Tamandua tetradactyla: one gene and its partners. The protein of the gene in region 3 interacts with the protein of the main gene of each other region in a biochemical or structural test. Links are inferred from orthologs where the notes say so. Each region holds a gene or a part of one and is shown on either strand. Other genes may lie near its edges.

Evidence for each region.
Region 1: the proteins of SRF (region 3) and ELK1 form a complex in vitro, tested with the Homo sapiens proteins (2 studies listed by BioGRID). The link is inferred for Tamandua tetradactyla from reciprocal best matches to the Homo sapiens genes SRF and ELK1.
Region 2: the proteins of SRF (region 3) and MYOG form a complex in vitro, tested with the Homo sapiens proteins (2 studies listed by BioGRID and IntAct). The link is inferred for Tamandua tetradactyla from reciprocal best matches to the Homo sapiens genes SRF and MYOG.

Annotation. Positions count from the first base shown.
Region 1 is NC_135353.1:122,477,279-122,488,104, forward strand, and holds the start of ELK1 (ETS domain-containing protein Elk-1), read left to right. Parts: upstream 1-6,486; 5' UTR 6,487-6,699; intron 6,700-10,826. Other genes in the region: protein UXT, read left to right, coding at 4,940-5,003, 5,212-5,265. UniProt on the Homo sapiens protein: Transcription factor that binds to purine-rich DNA sequences. Forms a ternary complex with SRF and the ETS and SRF motifs of the serum response element (SRE) on the promoter region of immediate early genes such as FOS and IER2.
Region 2 is NC_135330.1:60,391,975-60,401,976, reverse strand, and holds MYOG (myogenin), read left to right. Parts: upstream 1-5,176; 5' UTR 5,177-5,214; coding exon 5,215-5,685; intron 5,686-6,470; coding exon 6,471-6,552; intron 6,553-7,105; coding exon 7,106-7,227; 3' UTR 7,228-7,841; downstream 7,842-10,002. UniProt on the Homo sapiens protein: Acts as a transcriptional activator that promotes transcription of muscle-specific target genes and plays a role in muscle differentiation, cell cycle exit and muscle atrophy.
Region 3 is NC_135331.1:100,741,973-100,752,297, forward strand, and holds the start of SRF (serum response factor), read left to right. Parts: upstream 1-5,883; 5' UTR 5,884-6,121; coding exon 6,122-6,643; intron 6,644-8,333; coding exon 8,334-8,600; intron 8,601-10,174; coding exon 10,175-10,325. UniProt on the Homo sapiens protein: SRF is a transcription factor that binds to the serum response element (SRE), a short sequence of dyad symmetry located 300 bp to the 5' of the site of transcription initiation of some genes (such as FOS).

The DNA of each region.
Region 1 (10,826 bases), on a different chromosome or scaffold from region 3:
TGGGTCTCCTGCATGGAAGGCGAGCATTCTACCACTGAACCACCCATGCACCCTGATTTCCTTTATTTTTTTTGTCCATATTTTCCTTTAGTTCTTTGCGCATATTTAGGACCATTATTTTTTTTTAATTTTTTAATTTTATTTTTTAAATACCAAAAAACACCAAATGCAAACATTCCTATTTTGATCATTCCGTTCTACATATATAATCAGTAATTCATAATATCATCACATAGTTGCATATTCATCATGATGATCATTTCTTGAAACATTTGCATCTATTCAGAAAAAGAAATAAAACAAAAACAGAAAAAAAATTTATACATGCCATACCCCTTACCCCTCACTTTCATTTATCACTAGCATTTCAAACTAAATTTATTTTAACATTTGTTCCCCCTATTATTTATTTTTATTCCATATGTTCTACTCGTCTGTTGACAAGGTAGATAAAAGGAGCATCAGACACAAGGTTTTCACAATCACACAGTCACATTGTGAAAGCTCTGTCATTATTCAATCATTCTCAAGAAACATGGCTACTGGAACATAGCTCTACATTTTCAGGCAGTTCCCTCCAGCCTCTCCATTACGTCTTGAATAACAAGGTGATATCTACTTAATGTGTAAGAATAAACTCCAGGATAACCTCTCGACAATGTTTGGAATCTCTCAGCCATTGACACTTTGTCTCATTTCACTCTTCCCCCTTTTGGTCGAGAAGGTTTTCTCAATCCCTTGATGCTGAATCTCAGCTCATTCTAGGGTTTTTCTCAATCCCTTGATGCTGAGTCTCAGCTCATTCTAGGATTTCTGTCTCACATTGCCAGGAAGGTAGGACCATTATTTTTAAGTCTTTGTCTAGAATGTCCTAGGTCTGATCCTCTTCACTGATGGTTTCTAATGCTTTAATCTTCTCCTTTGCCTAAGCCATTGCTTCCTGTTTCTCTGTATGTTTGACAATCATTTGTTGAAACCTGCATGATCCTGCCCTTCCCTCCCTCCTAGACCTTATCTTGAATGTACCACTTTCCTTCTACCATTCACTTAATCCCTAACACTCTGGCCTCCTGCCTGTTTCTCAAAAAAACTCTTTCCTGCCTCTTGGCCTTTTTGTGGAAAAGTCCCTCCCACTGTTTAACTCTTACTCATTCTCAGTTCTTACTCATTCTTCATTTTCAGAAAGACCTTCTTTCACCCTTTCTATCAATTAGAATTATTTTGGGTAAGTCGTTATCCAAACTAGCTTAAACATAAGGAATTTACTGGTTTATGTAACTCAGTAGTCCAGGATCAGAGCAATTCCAGGCACTACTTGATCCGAGGCTCAAATGATTTGATCAGGACCCACTTTCTACCCTTTTCTCCTACCACAATATTTATTAGACCTCTGCTGTTTTTCTCTCAGAGAACACAATGCTTGTTCATCATAGCACTTATAGCATTTGTTTAGTTGCCTTATTTCTCTCTCCCCCAGGGGACAATAGACTCTTAAAAGAGCTATTGTTTCCTTTGTTTTGTTCACTCCCCATATATCCACATGCAATTTTCTTTCTCATCAACTATGCCTTATACACTAGGAGCTCAGTGTGTTTCAGTGATCTAAAAAAAAAGGCTCTGAAATAGTCATGGCAGACAAGTTGGCCAGAGAAAGGAGTAAGTGGCAGCACTGAGGGCCCCATGGAGGTTGGTGAATTTAGGATGCATGATTTACAAACTTTTGGATCTCTGAGAGTTAGGAGTACATTTTAACAAGGTCCTGGATGATTCTATTTAATGATTCTTGATCCATACTTTTAGAAATCCTATGAAATGATACCCAGCTGCAGCTCTCTGTCACTTTTTTAACTAGGAAGATCTGTTGATTCTTTTTTCTTCAATGATTTTTTACTGAGATATAATCATCTAAAGTGTACAATCAGTGGTTCACAGTATCATCATAAAGCTGTGCATTCATCATTACAATAGATTTTTGAACATTTTTATTAACTCCAAAAACAATAAAAATAAAAGTAAAAAAGTATACCCAGGGCAGGCCACGATAGCTTAACAGGCAGAGTTCTTGCCTGCCATGCTGGAGACCTGGGTTTGATTCCTGGGGCCTGCCTATGCAAAAAAAGAAAAAAAAAACTATACCCAAAACATCCCATACCTCCCATGTCTTTTTTTTTTTCTTACTCACCTGTCCATACACTGGATGAAGGGAGTGTCAGTCACATGGTTTTCACACTCACACGTTCACACCTTAAAAGCTCTATAGTTATTCAGTCATCTTCAGGAATCAAGGCTATTGGATTACAGTTCAACAGTTTCAGGTATTTCCTTCTAGCTACTCCAATACACCAAAAACTGAAATGGGGTATCTATATACTACATAAGAATAACCTTCAGAAAGACCTCTCAACTCTATTTGAAATCTCTCAGCCATTGAAACTTTATTTTGTTTCATTCCTCTTCCCCCTTTTAGTCGAGAAAGCTTTCTTACTCTCATGATTCCTGGGCCAGGCTTATGTTCAGGAGTCATGTCCCATGTTGCCAGGAGATTTACACCCTTGGGAGTCTTACATAGCAGGGAGGGCAGTGAGTTTACCTGCAAAGTTGGTTTAGAGAGATGCCACATCTGAGCAACAAAAGTGATTCTCTGAGGGTGACTCTTAGACAAAATCATAAGTAAGCTTAGCTTCTCCTTTGCAGGAAAAAGTTTCATAAGAGCAAGCCCCAAGATCAAGGACTTGTCCCATCAAATTGGCAGTCCCCAATATTTGCGAGAATATCAGGTCTTCCCCTGGTGGAGAAGTTTAATATTTCCACCTTTTCCCCAGTCCCTCAAGAGGAGTGTGCCAATACTTTTTAATCTTTTGCCCAACTTACTCTGGGGTTATCGGGGCATCACACCAACCTGTACAAACCAACAAGATCTCACTCCCTATTCATGGTTCCATATAATTATGGTGTTCAAATAAGCTAACCGTACAAGTTATATTAGATAGTGTCTCTGTCAGTTTTTTAAAGAGCAACCTGCTAACCCTGTTCCTGGCACACAGTTGGTGAATAGTTTGGGTCGTGCAGTGTTAGGGGATGGTCACAGGTCAGAGAGGAAAGAAAACTAAAGGTATTGCCGCGATTGTGATAATATGATAGGCAGTGGACTCTAAACTGAAGACGGAAATGCTAGTAGGAGGACTTGGAGATTAAGGTGGAAGTGGAAGAGCGGAAGGATCTAGAAGTTGCCAAAACGAGTTGCCTGGGTAGTGCTTTTGAACTGGCTGCCACCATGAGTGGCATTGGAAATCAGGCTGTTGAATACATTTCTTTTAGAAGAACAGTTTTTCAGGATAATGTTACCTTTAGTCATCAGTTTAAGGTCTTTGAGAGGTATCTCAAATTTAATATGTACAAAGGAAATTTTATGATCTTCCTTTCCTCCCCACTAACTTGTATGCCGTCTTCCCCTTGTCAGTCTATGACAACACCAGATTCCCAGTTGCTTGGCCTTGGCATCCTCCTTGAGTCCTCTCACATCTGATATCCAACCCTTTTTCAAAATATATCCTAAATCCAATAATTTCTAATCACCTCAACTGCTACCACTGTGGTCTGAGCCTCCATCATCTCTCACCTGGACTTTTGCAACAGCCTCATCACTGGACTTCATGCTTCCACATTTTCTCCCCTTACCCCCAATTAATCCTTCTCACAGCAGCCAGATGGATTCTCTTAAAACCCAAGTCAGTTCACAGCCTTCCTCTGCTCAAAACTTTTCTATGGCTCCTATCTCACAATAAAAGCTGGAGTCTCGGGCCAGCCACGGTGGCTCAGCAGGCAAGAATGCTCGCCTGCCATGCCAGAGGACCCAGGTTCCATTCCTGATGCCTGCCCATGTAAAAAAAAAAAAAAAAAGCTAGAGTCTCTACTATGGCCTTGTAGGTTTTATACAACCTGCCTCCCATCCTTAACCTCTTTGACCTCACCTCTTACTACAGTCCCCCTTTGCTTATTCTTTTCCAGCCATGCTGGCCTCTTTGCTGTGACTCAGACATACCAGGTACACCTCAGCACCCTTTGCTATCCCTTCTGTTTAGAACACTCATCCTCCAGGTAGCCACGTAATTAACTTCTCCCCTTCCTTTAAGTCTTTGCTCAGATGCTTCTCAGTGAATCCATTTCTGGGCATTCTATTTTAAATTGTAGACCCTACTCCTGCACTCCTTAACCTTCCTCATTGTTTGTTTGTTTATTTTTTTGGCATGGGCAGGCTCCAGGAATAGAACCCAGGTCTCTAGCACGGCAGGAGAGCCATTGTTTAAATCTTTTAATTGCACTTATATCCATTTGACATACTGTATATATTTTTTCATTTATTTTATTTATTAAATGTACCAACATACAAACACATTCTTAACATATGATCATTCCATTCTATATATATAATCAGTAATTCACAATATCATCACATAGTTGTATATCCATCATCATGATCATTTCTTAAAACATTTGCATCAATTCAGAAAAAGAAAAAGAAAACAGAAAGAAATTCATATATACCATACCTCTTACCCCTCCCTTTCATTGATCACTAGCGTTTCAATCTGCTAAATTTATTTTAACATTTGTTCCCCCATTATTTATTTATTTTTAATCCATATGTATACTGTATATTTTATTCCATCATTTATCTATCTGTGTCTCATAATAAGAATGTGAGTTCCACAAGGCCAGGATTTTTGTTGTGTTCACTGTTGACCCCCAATGCCTAGAACTGCCTGACATACAGCAGGCACTCAGTAAATGTCTTTTGAATCAGTGAAGTCCAGGTGGCTGCCAGGCCTGGTGACCTGTGAAAGTTATCCAGGTTATAGGTAGTTCTTAAAGTGAAGAAGAGTCATCCTCATAATCTCATGTGGGGCCCACTTCGCCCTTTCTTGTTTCCCTTCTCCAGGCTCAGCGACAGCCTCACCAGGGACTCCATGAATATCAAGGCCCATATCCACATGTTGCTAGAGGTGAGAGCAGCTCACAGACTCTATCTCCAAATGTGTTTAGGGTGATGACCTGAGGAAGGGAGAGAACCTGAGAAGGGAAGAACCATCTTTTCACCTGAGCTGGAGCCAAGCTGAAGCTTGGCTGACTCCAAGGGTAGAGAGGTCACAGCAACCCTGGGGTGGGGCCTGGACCCAGTGTCTGTTCAAACTCTTCTGTCCTCTTTTTTAGGGGCTTAGAGAGCTACAAGGCCTGCAGAATTTCCCAGAGATGCCTCATTACTGACTTCCTGCCCTCCTTCTCCGACATTAAAGAGCCTGAATGCCTTTGAGTTCCATGGCCCTTCTTTTTCTCCTTAACCCCTACTGGTTGCCAAGGTGCCGTTTCTAGAGCACACTGTTACTAGGAGGCTCGGAGCTCCAATCTCCATATGGAAGGTATAAAGCATCCCAGAAGTCCCGCCTCCAGCCTGTTGCCTGGCAACCTTTACCACTTGCCTCAATTCTCTGCCCGGTTGCCTGGCAGCGTTTACCACTGGCCTTTATACTCTGCCCTCTCTTCTGTAGTCTTGACAACCTGGACCCCCCACCTCACCCTTCCTTCCATTCCTTTTATTCCATTCCTTTTCCTGGAAACCACCCTTTGAGTTTCCACAGAGAATGAGCCAGTTCAGGGTGAAGATTTGGTACCAACACAGTCACCCTTTCACTCCTGGCGCTAAGGCTTACCCCTGCCCTGCGCCGTAGTCGTTCCGCAAATACCCTAATTATGCCCTAGTTCCTCTCGGCCCAACCTCGGCCTCACCCCTACTTCTTAATGGTTCAAGCTTCTGCCAATAGGTGCAGAGTTGGGTCCCGCCCTTCCCCAGCCCTGCGCGGGCCTCTAAGCTAAGATGAGTCCAGCTTCCGCCAATCAGAGTAGAGCCAGGTTCCTCCCCTTTGTAATTCTGGCCGCGGCTCGACCCTGCCCTCTTCGTAGGCATTTGATTTCCTCCACTCAGCGCTTCTCGTGTCTAGCAGCCGTACCGCCCTCCTACTTCCGCTCCAATCTAAATTAGTATTTTCTAGCCAGTCCTCAGAGTTACGCTGGCCGCCAGGTCCACTGCTACTCCCACTTCTATAGAAGTCCGGCTTCCGCTGAGCAGCGTGGAGTGCGGCACTGCCCCCTTGATGTTTTGGCAGCTGTCTAGGAGACACTTTTCCGCCAATCAGCAAAGGGTAGGGCCCACCCTCTTCTCCGAGGCTGGCTATCTCTTCCATCAATCCTATTTAGGCCAATCCGTGCAGGCAGAAGCCCCCAGACCCTTGTCAGCCGCCCACTGTCTATCAGTCCTTGAGCCAATCAGCACAGGGCATCTGTGGGGCTGGGTTCGCTCCCCCGCCCCGACCCTCGGGCGGCCATCCGCGTTCCAACAGTTCCGCTTGGGCCAATCAAGGCACAGCTCTGAGGCTGTGGGGCCCGCCCCTCACTCCCACCTCCCGAAATCGCACGTTTGATCTGTGCTGCTTGGGCCAACCAGCGAGTGGCAGGACGCTTGTCTCCGCCCCCATGGGCCCACGTGAGCGGTAGGGAAACGCAAGGGCGGCTTGTGGGTGCCGCCGCCGCCGCAACCGCCGCCGCCGCCTCAGAGCCGAGCCTGGGGGGCGGTGGGGCCGCGCATGGAGCCCCCGCCCCCCGGAGCTGCCAACACTGCCCACGCCGCTGCACCGCTCTGCACAGGTGAGCCCTGGGCCTGGAGGGTGGGGGCCCGCGTCCGTGACCCCTTGTATCCTTCCCGCCCCCGCGTGGGGCGATGTGGCTTGGCCCATCGCCTACTGGTATTCGACTCCCCACAGTACCGCCACCGCTGGTGGAACTGCCCGTGGCATTGTCCCCTCCCTTCGCCCCTTGTAGTATATCTGAGTGTGGTCTATCCCCCGCTCCCGTTTTGTAATGGATCAGCCTGCGTGCTTGAATTTTTCCCCATCCCAACTTACAGTGGACCCGTCCATGTTCTAGCCCCCATCCCCACTTATTAGGGATCAGTCTGTGGCACTGTCGGACCCCTTTTATATATAGGTGAGTCTGGGTGCTTGTATTTTTCTGTCCGCAACTTTCAAGGGACCCGTCTGTGGCCTTGTTTGTTCTACCCCTCCTCTTCCTTGTAGTGAATTAATCCGTGGCGTTGTACCCTCACCCCTCTTGAATAGTCTGTCAGTTTATATTCCTTTCTCCTCCAGTCCCCAAGTGCAGCGGTCCATGACTTTATCTGCCGTCCTCCCTCTCCCCCCACCCACCCCATTTTATAGTGGATCAGTTACATCCCCCTAGTCATCAGTCCGTTGCCCTGTCTCTCCTCCCTTTTCTGTACACTGTCAATTCGTGGGTTTCTCCTATCCTTTTAATTCTGAATCAGTCTAGTGCTTTGTATCTCCCCACTTCCAGGAGCGCAGGCCATAGCCTTGTGCTTATCTCCTTTTATCAGTCTGTGTGATGGCTTTTCTTCCCCTCCACTGTAGTGTATCAGTTAGTGAGCTTTTCTGCTGCCCTATTTGCCAGTAGGTGAGTTCATGGCCTTACTCCCCATCCCCTCTTTGTAGTGGATCTGTCCAATGGCCTTCCTGCTACCTGTGTGCTTACATTCACGTCCCTACCCCCACTTGCCCATCTATGAATCCAATGCTTTTATATTCCCCCTCCTTTCCTTGTGGTGCCTCAGTCCATGCCCTGCCCCCCCCCCCCTTCAATAATAGTGGATAAGTCTGTGTGATTGTTGAACCTAGGTCTTTTTTACTCTGGAACACACCCCCTCACACTCTTAACCACCAAGACATTCTTCCTTACTAAAATAAATGAATACATTAGTGATAATGATAATAATGCTAGTAGGAGCTAAAATTTATCAAGCACCTAGTATGTAAGGCATGCTTTTTCAGTGTTTTATATTAATGAACTCATTTAATCCTCACCACAACCCTATGAGATAGGTATTATCATTTTCCCCATTTCACGGATGGAAAACTGAGGCATGGGGAGGTTAGATACCTTACTCAAAGGTAATCTCAGAAAGAACCAGGTTAGGTTGCCCCTTAGGGCACAGGATAATATTTGAGGCTCCCCTCTGTCACTTCATCAAACCCCGCATAAGCCCCACTCCGTTAAAATCAAATTAGTTCTTATCTCCAAGCTTTTATTCTTGCAATTCCCTCTGCCTGCAGAGATGTCTCCATTCCACACCTTGTCCCAGCACCCACCCATCCCCAGTCCTACAGCAACTGTGACCTTAGATTAGTAAATTAACTGTCTTCTCTCTGTGCCTGTTTTCTCTCTTCCAAGATGGGGAGAATAGGGTGAGAACCCCATCACCCCACCCCTGCCCAGTATTTATAAAGAATACCTGAGTTAGTAACAATAAAATAAGTTACCTCTCTGACCTCACCTCCTAGACCTCCACCCCCTCACTAACTCTGCCCCAGTCACACTGGCCTCCTCATGATTCTCCAATACACCAAGCCTTGGGGCCTTTGCACTGACTTTTCTTTCTTCCAAGAACACTCTACCCCCAGATATCTGCATGGTTGTCTTTACAGCTCTGTTAAAATGTCAGCCTCTCAATGAGGTCCTCCCACCATCTTGTTTAAAAGAGATCCCTGGACCCACACACCCAGCAGTACTCAGGCCTCTTCCCTGCTGTATTTGTCTCTGCCTTTTGTCACACTCTTGACACATTGCATAATTTACCAGTTCACTATCCTTTCTGTCTGTCTCTCCCCATTAGAATGGGAGTCCCATGGGGTTTATAGTTTTTGTCTGCTTATTCACTGCTGTGTCTCCAGCACCTAAAAATGTACATGGCATGTAGTAGGTGCTCAATAAGAATTTATTATGGGAATGAATGGAAAAATAATTTCAGACAAATCAGGGTGGGAGACAGATGGAGATGAAGAGGGGACATGAGAGCTAGTTAAGAGGCTAGTTAGCTGGATCTGTTCATTCAACAAACATTTACTGAGTACCAGATGCTCTTCTAGGTGCTGAGAATTTGGGAGGGAACAAAACAGACAGATATCTCTGCCCTTGTGCAGCAGCCATTTATTGAGGGAGACAGCCTATATAAATAAAACTGTAAATAAAATTAGATGGTATTTTAGAGAAGTATGAAGAGAAGAAAGGAAGGTAGACATTGAGTATTGGGGTGTTTGAAATGTTAAGGTGGAGCAGCTAGAAGGAAAAATCTGAGATAATGGAATGGTAGCCCATGACAAACTCTGGGATCTGTTCTGTAACTACTTGTAGAAGAGTGCTTTGAAAATTATTGCTTTTTTCTTTCTTTGCTTTGTAAATATGTTATATTTGCGATTTTTAAAAAACATTAAAAAGAAAAGAAATCTTAGGGTGGCCAGGGCAGCCTCATTTGGAAGGTGACTTTTGAATTAAGGCCTGGATCAGGAGGTGACAGAGAGAACCAAAATGTCTAGGGGAATACTGTACAAAAGAGCGAACAGCCAGTGCAAAGTCCCTGGCTAGTGCGTGGCATGTTCAAGGAGCATCAAGGAGGCCAGGACAGATGGAGTGGAATGAGCGAAGGGGATAAGGGTAGGAGGTGATGTCACATTGGTGACAGAAGCCAGATGGTGTGGGCGGGGGAAGGGGGAGCTGTTTGGGGAGGGAGAAGATTGACATACTAGCTAATAGCTAACATTTGTTGAGTATCTACCATGTGCCATAGATACTTTTTCAAGTCGTTTATGTGTGCTTTCTAAATCCTCACAAGGAATTAAATATCTAAATCCTTGACACATTTAATCCTCACAAAAACCTTTGAGGGTAGTTGTGTTTTTGAGCATATTTTACTTTTTGAGAGAAAAAGACCCCCATTTTACAGCTCAGGAAACACAGAGAGGTTGAGTAATTTGTTCAAGGTCACACAGCTAGAACAGGACCAAGGAGTATGATGTTGAAGATCCAGAGAGAAAGAAGTAGTTTTGCAAGGGCAGATGGGTTATTCGGCACATTGGATCATGCAGAGGAAGAATGAATTCTGTCTAGAGAGGAAACAGAACTTGATGATTGTGTAATAAAGGGTTCTTCAGGTACAGGACAGAAAAAGGACACCCCTGGCAGGGAGAACAGCACATGTGTATCCTCAGATGTGAGAAGTCTCCTGGTGCATTAGGGGAACTGTGAATAGTTAAGGGTAGCCATGATATAGCATGTGAAGCTTGTGCCCACCTCAGAGCCTTTGTACATGCTGTTGCACCTTCCTGAAGCACCTTTCCCACAGACAACATGGCTTGCTACTTCCTCCCCTTCGGGTCACTGTTCACTGTCACCTGTTCAGGGAAGGCAACCCCATTACTCTCTGGGATCTTACCCTTCTGTTATTTTCTTCAGAGAGAGCTAGTGTTGTAAGGTGGTTAGGATCACTAATTGAAGCCAAACCTCCTGGGTTTGAATCCCAGCTCTGCTGTCTTCCAGCTCTGTGACCTTGGGCAAGTTACTTATCTTCTCTGTGCTTCCATGTTCTCACCTTAAAAATGGAGAGAATACTGATGATACCCACCCTATAGTGTTGGTTTGAAGATTAAATGAAGAAAAGAATTCAAATGATAGGTAATGCATAGAAAGGGCTATGTGTCTGGTTGCTATTTTTAAAACTAATATTCTTCATAGCATATACATAAATGTCTAACAGGCCTCTGAAACTGGCCATCTCCAAAACTGGCCTCCCGATCTCCCCCTTACAACCTGCTCTCCCATAGTGTTCCCCATCTCAGTTGATCACAGCTCCATCCTTCCAGGTGATCAGGCCAAAAACATAGAGTCACCCTTGATTTCTCTTTCTCTTATCTGTCAACAAATCTTGC
Region 2 (10,002 bases), on a different chromosome or scaffold from region 3:
ACTTGTCCCCTTGATTCTATTAGTCATTCTTTAGGTCTGTGCCTGGCTCAACAACCCTCACGACTATCCTCTACCCTGACTCATGGGCATTTCCTCCAGACCTACACAGAGTCAAAAAAGAATTTTGCCTCTCAAATGGGCCATTTGGATCATTCAGTCCAGCATTGTGATTTACAGATGGAGAAATTGAGGCCCAGAGAGGAGAAATGACTGGCCCAAGGTTCCACAGCAACATGCCCTGCCTCCTGGTTCCTACAGCCACTTTTCCTTAACTTCCCAAGAGTAGCTGCCTTAACCAGAAGCTGCTCAAAGGAATGTGGAATGGTCCTAAGGAATCCTCACTGGCATTTCCCAAGTCCCCACTAGATCCAGGCCCCCAAGTCATACTGTGGCAACAAGCTCGCTGGAGCCCTAATCTGTTATTTCTAAAACTAGCTCTCTGTTTTGTCTTCACTGGCCACCTCCCTGTGACCCCTTATCCCCACTGACCCATCCTCTTCCGCCTCCAGGCTGGCTCCTTCCACCCCAAGGCCAGAGATTCCTGATGAATGAGCCGGATTCTGAGCTCCAGATTCCTGGAAGGGATGGGATTTCCCAGTGGTTATCTGATGCTTGGTCTTCAATGGAAACAATGTGTGGCCTCTGGAGGACTGGGGCCCTTCCCTCTGCTGCACCTCTCAGCCCTGGTTTCCATCTGCCTCTAAGCCAAACCTCTCCTCCTGTCTCAAAGACCTCAGGCTTCCCTGGGCCTCTCCAGCCAACTCTGTCATACCTGTCTTGTGTCTTCTTTGCATCTCTTCATCACTATTTCACCCAGCTGTCTCCCTGAGCTCTCCATTTTAGCCTAGAGTATGTCCAATCCATTTGCTGCCTGTCTACCTGTGGCCCACAGGCCCACCTGGAAAGTATGTACTCACACGTAGCCACCTTCTTCACTCCACCGCCTCAGAGAGGGAGAGGAAACACTGGATTCAACCCTCACGCCTAACCGCAGACAGTCCAAGAGCTGACACCCTTCACATATTTGACACTAGCTCTCTGCACCCGTGGGTAAGTCACTTCCCTTCCCCAGGCCTCAGTTTCACCCAGAAGAAGGTGAACTAGCTGATCCTTAAGCAGCTTTCCAGCTGTGGCATCCTACGATGGTGCGACCAGTTTTCACTCTCCTACAAAGCTACTGTCCCACACGCACACACACAAAATGAGTATTGATTTGCATGCCATGGTTCATGTATCTAGATCCTGTTGAAATGCACAAGCATTCCTGCCACTTAACCCCCACTTAATTCTCATCAGTAATACGGAGAACCAGCCTAGGAAACAAGAAGTGGAGCCTGTTTGGAAAAGCCAGAGGTTCCCATCCTTCCAGACACTTCTCATCTCCCTCCTCTATTTCTAACCACATGAGACCCTGGGATGGGAAACTTGCTTTGATTTCAGCCAAGCAACCTGGCAGCCCAGTTCAGCCCACCTGCCAGTCAGCAGGAGCTGGAAGATGCTGGAGGTCGGAGAGCTGGGACTGGGTGTGCAGCCGAGGGGGAAAGAAGAAGCAGGGAGCAGGTGAGGGGGATTTCTGAGCACTGTGAAACCTAACCGCTACCATGCAAAAGAGATCAGCCCAGCATGCAAATAGAATCAAGTTGAGACAGTCAGGGTAGGGGAGCAAAGAGCCCGAACCTGAAGCCCAGCTTCAGGATTATGGGCAGAGACTTCTTCTGGAGGCCTGCTGGAAAAGGAGGCTCCGGGGGCGGGGGTGGAGCCTGTGTGTCCGAGCAGCAGGGGTGGGGATTAGGGCTGGATGCCCTGCTGTCAGGTTCGGGCTGATGGATCTCCGCTGGTGGCAGAGCACAAAGGCTGTTTTGTGCTTGGCACCAATGTGTTCCCATCCATCAGAGGGCAGCCTGTGTGGGATGGTGGGATGTGCAGGAGGAGGAAGGCTAGGCTTCTAGAAGCTTCCCCACAGCTCATCTCTGAAAGAGGAAAATGGTTGTCAATCCCTCCCATTAGGTTTGGAGAGGTCAGAGATACCTGGGTGCCCTGTATTCCCAAACCCAGGTGCTTCTGTTTCCCATACCTGGGCCCTGAAATAGTCCCCAAGACACGCTACTCAGACAACACGAACACATCTACAGACAGGCATTCGTCGAAACCCAGACACATGAGGTCACCTTAACCTCCCAGCCTGCATTACATGTGGGCAGAGGCAAACATAGACACAAGGCCAGCCTGTCACCATGGTGACCCAAACACCCAACTCAAGGTGCTCAACATATCTCCTTGGAAGGGAGGGGAGGGGAGGGAGGAATGAATCCATATCCAGGCTGGCGTCAGGTATTCCATTCCTGCTGTTCTTATATCCTGGAGGCAAAGGAGGACAGGCAGGAAAACAGCCGGAGGGGGAGGACCACGAGGCTTGGGGGTGCATCATGAGTGAAGGAGAGGACAAAGCAAAGAAAGGGACTAATATTTCTTGGGTGTCCCCATGTGCCAGGTGCCACTTCATTTAATACTCACAAACAACCATTCCTCTAGGAGACACACATGCACCATCCTTTTTGCCAGCCTGACACATGCGTCCTCCTGGGGTCCAAGAATCCATCCTCCTGCCTCTGAGAAGGCTGTTGAGACCTTCATCTCCTCACACCTGGATTCCTGTCATAGTCTTCTTGTGGGCTCTTGCCTCAGCATTCCAATCCCTCCATGCTGGTCAGGCCTCCACCCATCTTGGTGGGCTTGTCACCAATCACCCACTTACGTGAACCCTGAGCACCACCCAAACCAGTCTACCCAATGTCCCTTCACCCTCCTCCTCTCTTCCCATCCCAATCCTGCCTGTCCTCCAACACATGGTCCGACAGTTTCCTCCTCAGCTCTTCCAGAAAGACCCCAGCCTTCGGTGGATTCGTCTGTCTACAAACTCCCGAAATACTCTTTCGATGAACCCACTTATTTACAACTGATCGTCACTCTCATGTTTACTGCTGAATTAAGATAGCTCTTTCTTATACTGTAACTTAGCTTTCACACTGGTGTCCGTGCTCACCCACTAGATGGTAAAATACAGGAAATCATCACAGAACAAGCCCATTTCTCCTGCTTCCATTTTTATAGAGAGTGGACACATTGTTTAGAGATAAGTTAGATCAGATCCCAAAAGGACAAAAAGATGCAATATCTGAGTTTCCAGGGTAGCTCTGACACCATTCCTTTTCTCAGGGCTCACAGGATTAGAGTGGAAACTGAGGCAAGGTGTTTTTGTCTTTTTTTAATTTCTTATTTTTGCATGGGGTTGTTTTGGGAGTAGACATTCTTCCTTCTTCAGCCCAGCTGATTGGGGTCAGAGCAGGTTTAGTACTCCTTGCCTCCATGCCAACCCTTTTTATGATGCTGGTAAAGCTAAGAACCAAATTAGGACCTCACTACTCCCCCTCACATATACTTTGTTTTCCTTCTGTGTCCCCCATCCCATCTCTGTCTCCTACCCCAAAAGGACACCCACATTTTCCTGGCCCTCATCACGGATAACAGGAGGGAGGAAGGAAAGCCAGTTGTTTTGAGCCCCGTTCAGATCTCCCTTTCCCTGTGACGTCTTCCCCGCACCCCTGCCAGCGTTCCTCTCCCACTTACTGTCTGTCTTATCCATCACAGGCAGGAGGCAACACACTTAGTCTGTGGGGTCCTAGAGAGAAGAACTGGGACCAAAGGGAAAGAGATCCAGGGGACAAATTTTAGTTCAAAACCCAGGACTCGCTGGATTGGAGCTGCACACCTCTGGGTCAGGCTGCCTTGTGAGGTCAGCAGAAGCTGAAGAGGGATTCGGGCGTCAGGGCTTGGGTAGAACGAGGGGGCCGTGATGGTCTGCTAGATGGTAAGGTCTCTGAGGGTGGGGAGCTGCCTTGGGTTTTCCTGTAATCCCTCAGTGCTGAGACTGAGCCTCACTCATGGCCAGTCTCGGAGGCCTGCCCACTGTATCGGGAGGAATTGTCCTTTCAGACTCCGAGGCCTCTACTGAGAGTGACCACAGACTGAGAAGTCCAAAGATGCAGCAGCCCCTCCCCCCACCTGACATCTGAGAACCTGTGCGTGATACCTGTGAACAGAGGGCAGGGGCAGGAAGGAAGAGGCAGAACAACCCAGCCGGGTGGTCAAGGGGAGCAGAGAATTAACCTGGCTCTGAAGGTCCCTGCTTTCTCTCTTCTTCACACCCATCTCCAGTAAGGAGTCAGGAAAAGTCCGGCATCCTGATGGGGCAGGAAATAGAGTTGGCCAGGCAACACAGGATAGATAAATGGTCCCAAGTGAGGGAGAGAGGACACTTAAAGTTGAATAGATCTTGACCTTACCACTGCGAAGTAGGTGGCAACGTGTAAGCTGTAAACTCTAATCCCTGCTCTGACCCTGACCAGCTGTATTAAAAGGAAAGCTTCCCTGACCCCTGCCAAAACACCCAAACAACAACACAAAGAATCCGCTTGCGTCAGTTTACTCCCAATCACATGAGACCTAAGAAAACAAATGATGTCAAGGCTACTTGGAAACCCAGAAACTGAATCCATTTGTTCCTCTGAATTTCAATCCTTCTTATTCTTGGACAGTGAATATCCACACATACCCCAAATTTGAAGCAGTCTGGTTCTTTGAGGAAGAAGTTTCTAAGAGCCTCACTGACTGACACGGTCTGCCTACGGTGCTGTCAGGAAGCAGGGGAATGGATAAATTGACTTCCTAAATCCCCCTCCAGTCTGAACCCACATCTTCCTTGCCCCCACCCCAAAACCCCGCCCTCATCTTTGGGACCAGCAAGGACAGGGCAGGCAGGCCGCCCGGCTCCAGTAATTGAAAGGAGCAGATGAGAGGAGAATGTGTGTCCTCCCCCACCTCTCCTGCCCCATGGGGGCTGCCGAGAAATGAAAACTAATCAAATTACACCCGACGGCCTCCCTGCCCGTGCACAGGAGCCGGCCTGGGCCAGGGGCAGGCTGGCCACGTGGGGTGGGGGCCGTTGGGGGAGAGGGAAGGGGAATCACATCTAATCCACTGTAAACGTCTTGATGTGCAGCAACAGCTTAGAGGGGGGCTCAGGTTTCTGTGGCGTTGGCTATATTTATCTCTGGTTCCATGCCAGCAGGGAGGGTTTAAATGGCACCCAGCAGTTGGCGTGAGGGGCTGCAGGAGCTTGGGGGCTGGTGGCAGGAACAAGTCTTTTCCGACCCCATGGAGCTATATGAGACATCCCCATACTTCTACCAGGAGCCCCGCTTCTATGACGGGGAAAACTACCTGCCGGTCCACCTCCAGGGCTTCGAGACACCAGGCTACGAGCGGACTGAGCTCGGCCTGAGCCCCGAGGCCCAAGGGCCCCTAGAAGACAAGGGGCTAGGGACCCCGGAGCACTGCCCAGGCCAGTGCCTGCCATGGGCGTGCAAGGTGTGTAAGAGGAAGTCGGTGTCGGTGGACCGGCGGCGAGCGGCCACGCTGAGGGAGAAACGCAGGCTCAAGAAGGTGAACGAGGCCTTCGAGGCCCTGAAGAGGAGCACCTTGCTCAACCCCAACCAGCGGCTGCCCAAGGTGGAAATCCTGCGCAGCGCCATCCAGTACATCGAGCGCCTGCAGGCCCTGCTCAGCTCCCTCAACCAGGAAGAGCGCGACCTCCGCTACCGAGGCGGGGGTGGGCCCCAGCCAGGGGTAAGTGGCCACCCCGCCCACCGGTCCTGGGGGAACAGGGTCAGACGGAGGCCCCGGGCAGCCTCCAGACAGCGTGGGGTGGGGATGGCGGTTGGTGCAGGTGCCAGGCCCAGGCCTTCGGGCGGGGGCAGGGCGGGGAGAGGCGCTGCAGGACCCCTTCTTTTGTCAGAGCTGGTCTGTCCAGCTGACCTTCTGTGTCCTCATGTACTTGTCAGACAAGTTAAAGGCAGTGGGGAGAAGGTACCGATGTGAGGGGTGGGGCACAGGCTGTCGGAGGGCTCCAGAAACAGGTCCACAGCCACCCTGCGTGGGGGTGAGGGCTAATCCGAGTGCCTAGACGCAGGACCTAGAAGGCAAGGCCAAGGTACACCAGAGAAGACTGCTTTGTCCCCCACCCCAGCCCTACCCTGCGAGTGGCTGAGCAGACAGAAAACCTACTCAGTCTCAGGCTTGTGCAGAAATGGCCTCGGTTGGGCCAAACACACTGTCTTTATGCTGAGAGGAATGAACATCAGGGACCCCTTTAAGCTAAGTGACCTCTGAGGGGGAAATCACCACCCAGGATCAAGGCCACGGAAGGTCTGGAAGCAGGAGCTGGGTAGGAGAGGGTGAAAGGAGCTGGTGGTGAAGACTCTGGCGTGGAGGTGTGGCCTGGGCTGGAGGACCATGGCCCTTAGCCCATCCTCCAGCTCCACCACAGGCACTTCTACCCATTTGGGATTGGGCAGAGGAAGCCCTCTAAGAATGGCCGTGCCCTGACCTTGGGCCTTTACCCTATCTTGCAGGTGTCCAGTGAATGCAGCTCCCACAGCGCCTCCTGCAGTCCAGAGTGGGGCAGCGCACTGGAGTTTGGCCCCACCCCTGGGGGTAAGTCGGCCTGGGTCCTGGTAGCCTTGGCTCAACTCCCTCGGCCCCTCCCTAGGCCCAGTTCTCCCCTCTTACCAGATTTCCTGCTCCAGCCCTCTTCCCTTGGCCTCTCCAAGGACTTGCAGAACCCAGTGCCCCAAAAGATGGGCTAAAAAGGAGTGGTCTAGGCCTCCTATAGTTTCCCAGCTAGTGCCTGGTGACTGACCTTCTCTGCAGAGAGGAGACTGTCCCTGCCTCAGGGGTCCCTGGGAATTGCTGAGTCAGTGCTGCATAGCTGGGCCCAGCAAAGGGCAGCTCCAGTCTCCAATGATACACCATCTGGGCTCCACCTCAGAACTGCTGTTTCCAAATCCTAACCCTACTAGGGGAGCTCAGGGAGCAGACAAACACACTCACAGCAATTGGGAAAGGCATGGCCTGGGAAGGAGAGCTCCCGAGTTCTGCTCACACATCTGTCCTGGAGAAACGTGACACGCCCAAAGGGGCCCATCCTCCACTCTAGGCTCAAGACCCCCTTGAACCCCTGTGTCACACCCTCCCCACCTTCTTGCAGACCACCTCCTTGCTGCTGACCCCGCGGACACCCACAGTCTGCACTCACTCACCTCCATCGCCGACAGCATCACAGTGGAGGATGTCTCCGTGGCCTTCCCAGATGAAACCATGCCCAATTGAGATTGTCTGCCAGGCCAGGCTTGGGAGCCCCCCAAGCTGGTCACAGTTGCCTCCACTTCTACAGCAGGGACCTCTACTAAGCCAGGCTGTTCTGAAGCCAGGAAGCCAGCCTGGGACTGCCACATGCCAGGCTCTCCTCCTCCTCCTTTATACAAGGTTAACTCACCAGCCAGCGGGGACCTGAATTCCCTCACTTAGCTGACTCCTTAGAGCAGAGGGCATCCGTTTCCAGGGAGATAAAGCAGGGGACCAGAGCGCCCCCTCACGTATGCCCCCTAGGGCAAGGGGCAAACTCAGGAGCTTCCCTCTTATCATAATGCAGACTCCAACTCCCATTCCCCCAAAGAAGTATTTTAAGACACAAAGATAGTGTCCTGGCCTGGACGGGCTGTGCACATCTCCTGTTTTTGTCTCTTCCTGATGCCAGTGGCTGGGCTGGGCCTGCCCTGAACCGAGGGAGAAGAGGAGGCACAGCCTCTGTCCAAGGGTCCAAGCTTTTGCAGTGAATATTGGGAACCTTCCAGTGGTTTTATGTTTTGTTTTGTTTTGTTTCGTGTGTTGTTTGTAAAGCTGCCATCTGACCAAGGTCTCCTGTGCTCAAGTGGCCAGGGACAGGCAGGGAAGGGAGGGAGGGTGGTTTTGGGGGGTGATTTCTTTTGTTAACTAAACATTGTGTGGTTTTGCCATTGTTTTGTACCTTTTTTTTTTTTTTTTGCTAACTTATTTGGATTTCCTTTTTTAAAAAATGAATAAAGACTGGTTGCTAGAAGAGTGTCAATGATGCAGAGGGAGGGGGATGACTGGGCACGCCTGCCCCCTTCCTACTTGGTGACCCAGACACACCGTAAGGGCAGGGCTTCCAAGGGTTGGAGTGACAGAAGCACTGGAGAGATGCCAACACTCTAGAAGCTCTGGAGGCACCACCCTGCTGATGGGCACTGGGGGCTGAGGACCCCTCCTCTTTCTACCATTGTAAAGGAAGCTGGGTCTGGTCCAGAGGCTGGGGGGAAGACTGGACTTCACAGAGTTCCTCGCGGGACACTCTGCTGAGCAGTTGGATGCACTTAAAGTCATAGACATTGTTCCCAGTCTACTGCCTGCCAGTGTACAGCCCAATAGGTCTATTCGGTTTCAATCAGTTGAGCATGCTCATATGCCCAGTGCTCAGCCCACAGCCAGGTGGCAGCGCTGGAGAGTTGAAATTTGTGGATTTCACCTCCCTAATCCTGCCTCTCCTCTGGTGCTACACGACATCCTGTAGCCAGGCATGGTTAAATTAGGAGTATGGATGTCAGATACTAGACACGCCATAGCAGACTGACTAGCTGGCCCCTTTACACTTCTCCATCCCCGCCAGGATGAAGGAGATTCTGGTCCCCGCCAACCATTCAGAGAATGAAGGCAACCAGGGGAAGGGGCAGGGGCTCGAAAGGTCAAAGGAAAAGAAGTTGGGATGGGGGAGGTCTCTTCATTGGAGGTGCTGTTTTTTTCTGTTTGTCTTTTTCAAACACTGGCTTTCTGAAGGAATAAGTTATGTGGGGGATAGAGATCAAAGATTTTGGATACATTAGGATTAACTACAGAGCTAGGTGCTACAACTTCAAGGGATCATGAACTTCTACAAACACTACTAATTCCAAAAGCTTCTGGCTAAGTTTGTCAGATTTATTGCAAATGACGAGTTTCAGAAACATGACAGAAGTCTTGGGATTCAGAGCACGACACAGCATAGTCCCATTCGATTCCTTAGGGCCCTCTGACAACTGCTTTAACAACTGACATACCCCAGATTTATCCGTCAGCCTCCAGTGACCATTCTGCTCTTGTTCTGGGCTCTGCTGGCCGCTTCCCCCTCCTCCGCCCTCCTGACCTTGATTTTGAAGAGTGATGTCAATACCCGGGACCCAGAGTCTCCCCAGAAACTACCTAAGAAAGAGTAAGAAGCAAGCCTCAGAGCAGCCTCACAGAACCCGGGTCAGGGTGCAGAAGGGAGGGTCTCCCCCAGGACCCACTTACCCCAAACAACAAGTCGGAGCTGGGCGTTTTGGGGACTCTGAACCCCCTCCACCCCCCCAGCCCCAAATCACCAACTAGCCTCATCAGCCCTCATTTGTGGGACTTTCTTCTTCTTAAGTCGCTTCCATGATGCTTAACTTTCTCTGACTCGCTGACCTTGGGGATGGGGGAGGGCAGCAGCCTGGCCCCAAGGCTTTGGCTCTAGAATCTACATTCACTCCCTTATTAACCAACCAAATATGGAAATAGACATTCAAAAGGGATCTTCTCCCCTCGGGCTCATTTCCTTTGCCTCTGACACTTCCCAAATTTAGGGTGGCTACAATCCTGCCACTCCCTTGCCCTCCTCTTGGAAGGGTGGCAGTGGAGGGCAGCTCGAAAACAGCACTCAACTCTACCAAACAGCTCATAACCTCTGCGACTGCAGAACATATATATATATATTCAGGTTATACTTCTTAAGTTATCATGTCACTTGGAAACTGAGCTTCATTTTGATACTCTGAAAAGAATGAACAGTCCTTAGCAATGGCTATCAGAATCAATAGTTCCCTGCCATTATCGAGTACAGCCACTGTCTACTTACTTTTTTCATAGTCCTTAACCATCCTTCCACCCACTCCGCCATCCCCCACCTCCCGAGAAACAATCTGCTGGAATTCCAGAAGTGTGAATGGCAAACTTTGCCAAGTAAGAGCTCAGCCCCGCTCATTACTTTCAAGGAATAAACAACTGTCATCAGAGAACAGGGACTCTCTT
Region 3 (10,325 bases):
GCTGATGTCTGTCACATGGGAAGGCACATGGCTGGCATCTGCTGGTCCTTGTTCTCAGTTGTGTTGCTTCCAGCTTCTGATGCCAGTAGTTTCCTCTCTAAGCATCTGTGAGCCTTCACTTAGCTCCTCCAGGACACAACTCTGGGTTCTGTCTTGCTTAGTATCTCATGGAAAGGTACACGGTGACATCTAACTGGGCTCTGCATCTCTAAATGTCCAGTTCTAGGTATTTGCTTTCTCTGTTGGCACTCTTCACATCTCCAGGTGTCTGTATCTCTGTTGCCTCTAAGCTTTCTCCAGAATATTTCCTCTTTTAAAGGACTCCAGTAAGCTAATCAAGACCCACCTTGAATGGGTGGAGTTATATCTCCATTTAATCAAAAGGCCACATTCACAACTAGGTGTGTCACATCTCCATGGAAACAATCCAGAGTTTCCTCCCCACAATATTGAATCAGGATAAAAGAAAAATGCCTGTCCCCACAAGACTGGATCAGGAAAAAGGACATGGCTTTTCTGGGTACATACCAGCACACCAACTGACTTGGGTCTTAAGATTTTTTCTTTTTAGTTTTTTTTTTTGGTTTTTGTTTTAAGCAGTGGGGTTGGATTTGATCTAGCCACATCCTTCTAGTATGCTGTCTCCCTCAGCATGGATCAGTGAGAAGGATCTCTAAGAAAACTGATGATGGCTTGGGGTGCAAAGCTAGCAGATTCTGTAGGGGAAACCTTTCATGTGTCCCAGGTGGACTGACTTGGGGGTGGGGAGTAGTGTGGGAAGGCCGGGGAGCAAGAAGTTAATCCAAGTTCATCACTGTGACTCTGGCACTCAGCACAGCGCCAAGTGCATCATGGGGCCCCACATAGGCCATGTTTAATGAACTGAACTGAAATCAGTTTAGGTGGTCAAATAATACTATTGCCCTCCATTAAGAACCCTTGGTTATTTCACAAATGGTGTTGGGACAACTGGAAATCTATATGCAAAAGAATGAGTGTGGACATCTACCTCTCATCATATACAAAAATTAATCCAAAATGAACTAAATATAAGAGCTAATATAATAAAACTGTTACAATAAAATGAAAGACCTTCAGGACCTTGTAGTAGTTAATGGATTTTTAGATTTTACACCAAAAGCACAAGGAACAAAAGAAAAAAATAGACAAAATGGACTTCATCAAAATTAAAAACATTAAGGACATTATCAAGATAGTGAAAAGACAATCTGCAAAATGGGAGAAAATATCTGTAAACTATATGTCTGATAAGGGTTTATTTTTATTTTTAAACAGTTTTTATTATGAAATATAACATTTATACAAAAAGCAATAAAATTCAAAATACATGGTAACTTATAGAACAGATTTCAAAATATGGTATGGGTTGCCCTTCCACAATTTTAAGTTTTTCCTTCTAGCTGCTCCAAGACACTGGAGACTAAAAGAAATATTAATAAAATGATTCAGCAGGCATTCTCATTTGTTAAATCCTATCTTCTCTGTTATAACTCCTCCTTCTCCTTTGATCCTTCTCCCAATTTTTAGGATATTTGGACTCTACCCTTTCTAACTTTTCATATTGGAAAGGGGTGTTGATAATATGGGATGGGGGATAGGACTAGTAGATGTTCTTGGAGAGGTTGGCATCTCTGGTTTCAGGACTCATCTGGTCTAGGAACCCCTCTGGAGGTTGTAGGTTTCTGGAAAGTAATCTTAGTACGTGAAGCTTTTATAGAATCTCAGGTTTTACAACAAAAGTACAAGCAGCAAAAGAAAAAAATAGACAAAATGGACTTCATCAAAATTAAAAACATTAAGGACATTATTAAGATAGTGAAAAGACAACCTACAAAATGGGAGAAAATATTTGTAAACTATATATCTGATAAGGGTTTAATATACAGAACATATAAAGATCTCCTACAACAAAAAGACAATTTAAGAAAATGGATTTGAATAGACATTTCTCCAAAGGAGATATTCAAATGGCTAGCCAATAAGTAAATGAAAAGATGCTCAACATCATTAGCCATTAAAGAAACGAAAATCAGAACTACAATGAGATACCACCTAATACCCACTAAGCTGTCTATTACTAAAAATCTGAAAAAAGCAAGTATTGGTAAGAATGCAAAGAAACAGGAGCCCTCACACATTGTTTGTGGGTACGTAAGATGGTGCAGATACTGCAGAAAACAGTTTGGCAGCTCCTAAGGAAGTTAAACATAGGATTACTATATGACTAGGAACTCCATTCCAAGATGCATACCCAGAATTACAAGCAGGGACTCAGATATATACATATACCAATGTTCATAGAAGTATTATTCACAATAGCCAAAAGGTAGAAGCAACCTGAATGTCCACCAACAAAATGAATAGATAAATAAAATGTGGTACATACACACAGTGGAATATTATTCAACCAAAAAAGGAATGAAATTCTAATACACACTACAACATGATGAACACATCATAGTGAGTGAAATAACCAGACACAAAAGGACAAATATTGTATGATTTCTCTTATAAGAAATACTTAGAATAAGGAAATTCGTAGAGACAGAAAGCAGAAAATTGTTACCAGGGGTGGGGGGAGGGAGAAATGGGAAGTTATTGCTAAATGAGAAGAACGAGCTTTGGTTGGGATGATGAAAAGAGTGTGGAAATAGATAGTGGTAAAAGTTACACAGGCTTGTCAGTATACTTAAATGTCAAAGAACTGTCCTCTTATAATAGCTAAGATGATTTTTATGTTTTATATATATTTTACCACAATTAAAAATGAAGTTAGTTAAAAAAAAACCTGGGTAAGGGTTAATTCCAAATAAAAACAGTTTTAGGGTGTTGCAACAGTAATTTTTAAAAGCAGTCTTTATTTTTTGTACTGATATTATTTGGGTGATAAAAATCAGGAAAAGGAAATAAAGGCTGGGATAGGAATGGTATGGTGTGAGGGGAAAATTTCTTGTCATAGGAGCAGGCTGGAATTCTAGTGCTCAGCTGAAGGTCTTTCATGATTTGGGGTAGATGTGAACTTCCTTCAATTCCAGGGGGCTAGACGGAAATTTTACTTTGATTTAGGCCTTATCAGAGAACTCCTGAGTTGACATTCTAGAGAGGCCAAGCAGGGATCTTACTTGAGCCTTCTGAGATATGCGGGCTCAGTGGTGAACCAGAGAGCAGAGGCCTCTTCTACTGCAGCCAATTACTCCAAGTCTGAGTGTTCCTATGGCACCTATCCATAGAGTTGCCAAGAATTACAAATTTTTTAGAGAGGCTGGACATTCAGCTTTCTAAGTAAAATCTGATTTTTCATTATAATTATATGGTCCAAACAAAACACATTCTGTGAGCAGTTTTTTTTTTCACTTTATCCCCATCACCAGTTTCAGCCTTGGAAACTGCAGTGATCCAATGCAATGTGGGTGTAGGTCTCCTGTTGTGAAACAGGTTGTGAACATGAAGGAATCCCAACCAAGACTCCAAGTCAGATGAATAGGCAGTGGCATGAACGCTGGGTGAAATCAAGAGAAAGGGCAGTCTGTTTGAAGGGAAGCTGAGAACTTGCTCACCCAGGACGCCCTCCCGCGTGGAGGTGATGGAGAGCAGTTGCCCTCTAGGGTGCCTATGCTGAAGGCAGTACCCCCAAACAGCCTCTATTTATCCTAGTGGGTGTCAACTGTCCATGTGTCTAAACAAGGGGTCTCAAACCAAAAGTCTTTAGAGCCTAGGCAGGAATGCTGCTCAAACAAAACACATCCCCAAGAACCATTTATGCCCCTCCCCCCAAGAAACCCTTCTGGAACCTATTTATCTATTTGACCTGTTCTTCCTCTTGAGCTAACACTTTCCATATGTTTAACTACCTGTTGTGTAGAGTAGATTAGGAAAAAAAAAAATATATATATATATCTTTAAAACTTTAAGCATTTGGGAAATGCTCAGAGGAGAAGGGTTCCTTAATTCCAGTTATAAATAAGCCCATGTTAATAATATATGATGCATTTTATCTTACAAGTCACTTGAACATACTTTATTGTAGTAAGTCTTAGTCCTTGGATTGTGATTTATAGTAAGAAATGCAGTTGACATTGCCATCCAATACACATATTCATTGAACCATATGATAATGACAATTTTACTTATAAAATGGCAATTGCATATATTCAATGTATATTACAGCTCAGAAGTTTTTTTAATTCTTTTTTTGTCTTTTGTTTATTGTAACTTAGAAGTTTTATGCAATGACGTTACCCTTGTTTTTTGTGATGCCTGCCTGTTAATTTTTACTCTTTTAAAGGCTGTTTGCAGTGCCTTAAATTTATTTCACTACTAACGGCAGTGAAAAGTTTGAAAATTGACTAATTTTTTTATCTTCACAACTTTTTTTATTTCCCCTTTTTATTTATTTATTTATTTTCCCACAACTTTTAAAGCAGTTATCATCACACTCTCCCATCCCCTTAAACACACCAATGTTTATTCCAGGGATAAGTTACCCCAGGCAGCTCCTGTTTAGTATTCCCTGACTGCTGACTCAAGTAAGTAATAGTTTTGTTCTTAAATCTGCATAGGCACCTCATGGGATGGGTAGCATCACTGAGGAATACGGATTTTGGAGAGGTCAAATCACTTGTTTCCAGGCGCAGGACTAGGAATGGGCCCATTCCAGATCTGAATAATTTCTATTACAGCGGAGCCCAACCTATTTTCCCTACCTTGAAGCTAACTAAGATCCAGACCCAGGGATTCTTACCCTAAACCTTGGCTTTGCAGCACCACAGTTCTAAGCCTTCCCCCTCCCCCTTCTACGGACTTTCATGGCTTTTCAGAGAAGGGTGTGTGCGTGTGCGTGTGCGCGCGCGGGCTTAAACTTTTTGCCCAGCTACACTCTCTCTCAGGCCTTTGCACTGGCTGTTGGATGGGCTTTATCCTGGGAACCACCCCCTCCCCCCAACCCAGCCTGCAGCTGGGAGTCTTTACTGATGTCCGTCTCTCCTCATTGTCCCCATCAGGCACGGGAAGGCAGACTATCTCCTCCGGCTTCTTCCAGATGAACGTCTGCCAAAGACCCCCCAGTGTAGAGGATGATGAATGAGGTCTGGGGAGCCTGCCTGGTGGGAAAGTGTCGTTGCCTTGAAAACAGAGGAAAGGGAAGTCGGGGGGAGGGGAAAGGGGTTGAGCTCAGCGGCGGAGGCGCGGGAGTCTGGACACCAGAGACCTAAGCCCCCTTCGCTCGGCCAGTGACTTGCCTCCTTTAGGAAAGAGTGGGGAAGCGTTCCGATCCCTGTACTTCTTCCATGGTTTCTGGGCTGTATTTTCCCGTTTATTGCACTAACCCACAATTGACTCAGGGACTCCTTCAAGTATTTGCTTCTAGCTTTCCAGGTGCCGGGTTCCCAGAGCTGCTCCTTCTCCACAAGACTGCTCAGCTCAGTCCTCTCCCGTGTTTCCTCTCGGCCAGTCCCTCCCAATTCTCTCTACTGTTCTCCGGTTCAGGGGGGCGGAGTCGTACCTCCTCTCCTGTTCCTTTAAGAGGCGTCGGCTCCACCCCTTTCGGGATCGCCTTCTGACGCGGGATGACAGCCGCGAGTTTGGTATGTCTATGCAAATAAGCGCCCCCTGCGGGCCAATGGAGAGCGGAGGTGCCGGAACCGCGGACCAATGGGGCGGGGGCGCTGGGGCTCACCATATAAGGAGCGGCCTCGCCATAAAAGGAAACATTGTATCTCTTTATATGGGGGGAAGGGTCGGGGGATCCCTCCGCCGCCAGCGCGTGGTCCCGGCCCCCTCCACCCGCGGTCTCCGCCGCGGCCAGCAGCCCCTGCCCCCCGGGGGACGCCGACGGCCGCCGGGCGCGCCGCCCGAGCATACGGACAGGGGGCGCTGCGCGCGGCCTGGGGCAACCCGGGCCACAGGAGCAGGAAAGTGAGGGCCCAGGTCGGCCCGGGCGTGCAGGGGCCCCGGGTTCGCAGCGGCGCCGGCAGCGAAAGCCGCACTAGCAGGAGCGCGAGCACCAGGTTGAGCCGGGAAGCCGATGGCGGCGGCGGCGGCGGCGGCAGCGGCGGCTCCGATTCCTTGCTGACTGCCTGTCCGCCCTCCTGCATTGAACGCCATGTTACCGAGCCAAGCTGGGGCCGCGGCGGCGCTGGGACGGGGCTCGGCCCTGGGGGGCAGTCTGAACCGGACCCCGACGGGGCGGCCGGGCGGTGGAGGCGGCGGCGGCGGAACTCGTGGGGCTAACGGGGGCCGGGTCCCTGGGAACGGCGCGGGGCTCGGGCCCGGCCGCCTCGAGCGGGAGGCTGCAGCAGCGGCGGCAAGCACCCCGGCGCCCACCGCGGGGGCCCTCTACAGCGGCAGCGAGGGCGACTCGGAGTCGGGCGAGGAGGAGGAGCTGTGCGCCGAGCGGCGCGGCCTGAAGCGGAGCCTGAGCGAGATGGAGCTCGGCGTGGTGGTCGGCGGGCCCGAGGCGTCGGCGGCGGCCACCGGGGGTTACGGGCCGGTGACCGGCGCGGTGAGCGGGGCCAAGCCGGGTAAGAAGACCCGGGGCCGCGTGAAGATCAAGATGGAGTTCATCGACAACAAGCTGCGGCGTTACACGACCTTCAGCAAGAGGAAGACGGGCATCATGAAGAAGGTACCGGGCGGGGAAGCTGGCCGGCCACCGGGGACCCGGGAGAGGTGGGGATGAGCAGGGGAAGCCGGGGAGGAAGGCAGAGCCAAGCCGAGGTGAGAGGCGGCGAGTCCGCAGAGGTGTGTGGGAGGGGATGTTCTTACCCCGGGTGGGTGAAAGGGGAGGGGCCGCCAGGGAAATGTGGGGAGAGGGGAGATGCGGCGAACGTCCGGGAAAGAAGGGAAAGGCGCCGAGGTGGGAGTGACCGGCGCGAGAGAGGAAGAGGGCCCTCGTGGAGTGAAGGGGTGAGGAAGCGGTACTGAGAGGCTGCGAGCCTGCCGGGGAGGTGGATACTGAGCAGCCAGGTCTGTAGGTCCAGTGAACGCTGGTGCTGGGAGTGGGCGTTGGTAAGGCAGGGAAGTGGGAGTGAGCACGAGCGAAGCCGGGGAGCAGAAGAAAAGGTGGAGAGGTTTGGAAACTGGAGCTGGGAGGGAAGCAGTAATAGAAATGAGCAAATCTATGTGGGAGGAAGGTGGGCACCACTGAAGTAGTGTTGACTGGAGGGACAGGCATCGCTGGGACCCAGTGGGGCTCAAGAGCCCCAGGTAAGGGGGCAGGGCAAGAAAACTGATGCTGTCTTGAGCAGCAGAGACCAAGCCAAGCAATGGCCATGTGTCTTCCATTGCCATCACTGAAAGCTGGCATGCTCCTGGTGGGACAGGCTGTGGAACTGCTTACCTTTGGGACAAGTGGGGTTTCCAGCCCTAGGGAGAATCTGTGCATGGAGTTTGGGGGAATTTACAGAAGTACCTAGAAATTCAACCAGTGAAAGGGGTGAGGAGAGGACTCATCTTGGGGTGTAGAAGACAAGGGAAGGGATGGAACCAGAAAAACTGGGAGATTAGAAACTAGAACCTTGGACATTGGCGAGTGTTTATATTTTTCCTATACAGAAAACACCTGAGCTGCTCCCATGGTGGGGGGAGGTATGGAATTTTGTTGGGAGTGAGGATTGCATCTATGGGGCCACACTTGAAGGCTCCCCTGCCTGGGTTCATAGTGGGGTCTTCCCACTGTCTTCCATCACTCCAGACACTGCTGTATCAGTGTCTCTTGTCACTTGATCATCAGTAGAGAAGGTTAGGGAGGGGGATGCCCACGAAGGAAAGCTCAGACGCAAGACTGTCTTTTCCTTACATACTTATACTTCCTCTCTAAGACTAAGCAAGGAAAAAGGGTAGCGCAGTATTATAGAGCAGAACAAGTGAGGCCATGTCAACAGGTTACACCTGGGTAGTTTCTGGGAAGAAACTCGGGGAGCTTAGGTGGCCCTTATGCCTAATGGCTTGTGTGATTTCCATTGTGGTGGGGATACCATCCTAGTCCGTGACAGTGAGGAGGGCATGGGAACCGTCTCTCTATAAGGCTTAGGGCACTAAGCTTTAGTGAGAAGCAGTTAATTGGGCCCCTTCATGTCTACAGAGGTCCCCCATCATCAGGGGGCCATAGCTATTTCCTTAGGATATCTACAAGTTGATGGTTCTGTTCCTCAGAGGATGTCATCTTCTGATATCCACATAGGACCCCCTAGAGTTAGAGGAGTGGAAGGTCATTATGGTAGGGGGCTCGAGGTCACTGTGGTCTTCCTCTCTTTCCTACTTCTCAAGGAAGTTAGAGATGAAAAATTTTGCTGACCTGCCCATCTCCCCCCTAGGCCTATGAGCTGTCTACGCTGACAGGGACACAGGTGCTGTTGCTGGTGGCCAGTGAGACAGGCCATGTGTATACCTTTGCCACCCGCAAACTGCAGCCCATGATCACCAGTGAGACGGGCAAGGCGCTGATTCAGACCTGCCTCAACTCGCCAGACTCTCCACCCCGCTCCGACCCCACAACAGACCAGAGAATGAGTGCCACAGGCTTTGAAGAGACAGACCTCACCTACCAGGTGTCGGAGTCTGACAGCAGTGGGGAGACCAAGGTGTGTTTGGGGTCCCTATCCAAGGAGGGAGGGATGGGAAGGGACTTGTGGCACAGAGAGGGGAAAGAGGGGAGGGTGTCCCTCTCCCAACCTTGCCCAGGACAGGTGCATAGGTGCCCACAGCTGTGGAGTAGAGCCTGGTTAGTGACCCTCATTCTGAGGGACAGGTGTCCATCCTTGCTATCCTGACAGGAGGCTGGCCGCCTAGATAAGCGGGTGGCCTCCGTGCCCATATAAGGCCGGCTCCGGCTCCACGCCGGCCTCCCGCCCGGAGCCCGCCTGCCTGGCAGGGCCCTTGCATTCCTCCCGCCAGCTGTCTCCCTGCCGGGGGCGGGGAAGTAGCTTAGCCCTGCCCTGCAGCCCTGGGCCACTAGAGAGTAAGAAGGGAGCCCTCCCAGGTCCCAGGGTCCTGGGAACCCAGCTCTGTCGGCAGGCCGGCTAGCTGGCTGTGCTGGAGACTACTATACTAGCCAGCCGCCTACCTTCTTAGGATGTCCGGGCCTGGGTATGTAAAGGGAGTATATTCGCCCACTGCCAGGGATGCGGGCCTTAGTTACACGCCTCCCCCCTTCCTTTTCCTGGTAAGGAGAGGGGGCAGGGCTTCCTCCCTTGCTCATCTTGGGAAGCTCCACCTTCCGGGTGTCCTTAACTAACTGGCCAATCAAAGGAAGCGGCACTGTTTGCCTTAGCAACGCCTCCGCCAATCAGGGCTTCAAGCCCAGTTGCTTAGCAAACATCCCGTACTGTCCCACCCCCAAACCCCTGTCTTTGAGCCCCTAGTCACTCGTCGCAGTTCTCCGCTCTTGCGGCTTCCTCCTTCCCCTTCTCAGAACAAAGGCTCCCTAAGGGGTGAGGCAGTACCCAAGGCTTCCCCCGCCTTAGTGGCATATCATCTGTAATAATTTTCAACCCTTGTTAGCAGTGGACTTCATTTATTCCCAGGACACTGTGTTGGATGAATGAGGTTCTTTGGTTGTTTGAATCTTTAGTGTTTGGCATAAAATACTTCATTGCCACACCCCCAAGATCTCTCTCCAACCCCAAGTCCCTGAAAAACTCTCAATCCTCATGTCAGAAGTCTGGCAAATCAGAGTGGGAAGGACCCTTTTGAAGAGACCATCCTGCCCAGCCTCCTCGTGTTTATGGAAGAGGAAAACTGAGGCACAGAGAGAGAAAGGGATATCCCAGGGTCACCCAGCTGGTCAACCTGGGCATCCTGATGCCTCAGCCAATGTGATTACCACTGTCTGCTGGGACAAAGTAGTTAGGGAATTACAGCAAACATTCAGATAATTTTCTGTGTGCCAGCCACTGCTGTAAGTTGCTTAACATATGTTAACTTGTTTAACCTTCACGACAATCTATGAGCCAGATACTGTCCCCCTTTTACAGATAGGAAACTGAAGCTCAGTAGCACAGTGATTTGCCCAGGGGTCAGGTAGCAGGTAAATGGCAGAGCTGGGATCTGGAGTCAGGCAGACTGGCCAAAGTCTGGGTTCTCAGACACCATACAAAACTTCTGCAGGGGTGGGGTCTGGTAGAGGCTCACCACTTCATCTTTAATCCTGGTGTAGGACACGCTGAAGCCAGTGTTCACAGTCACCAACCTGCCGGGTACCACCTCTACCATCCAGACAGCACCTAGCACCTCTACCACCATGCAAGTCAGCAGCGGCCCCTCCTTCCCCATCACCAACTATCTGGCACCAGTGTCTGCTAGCGTCA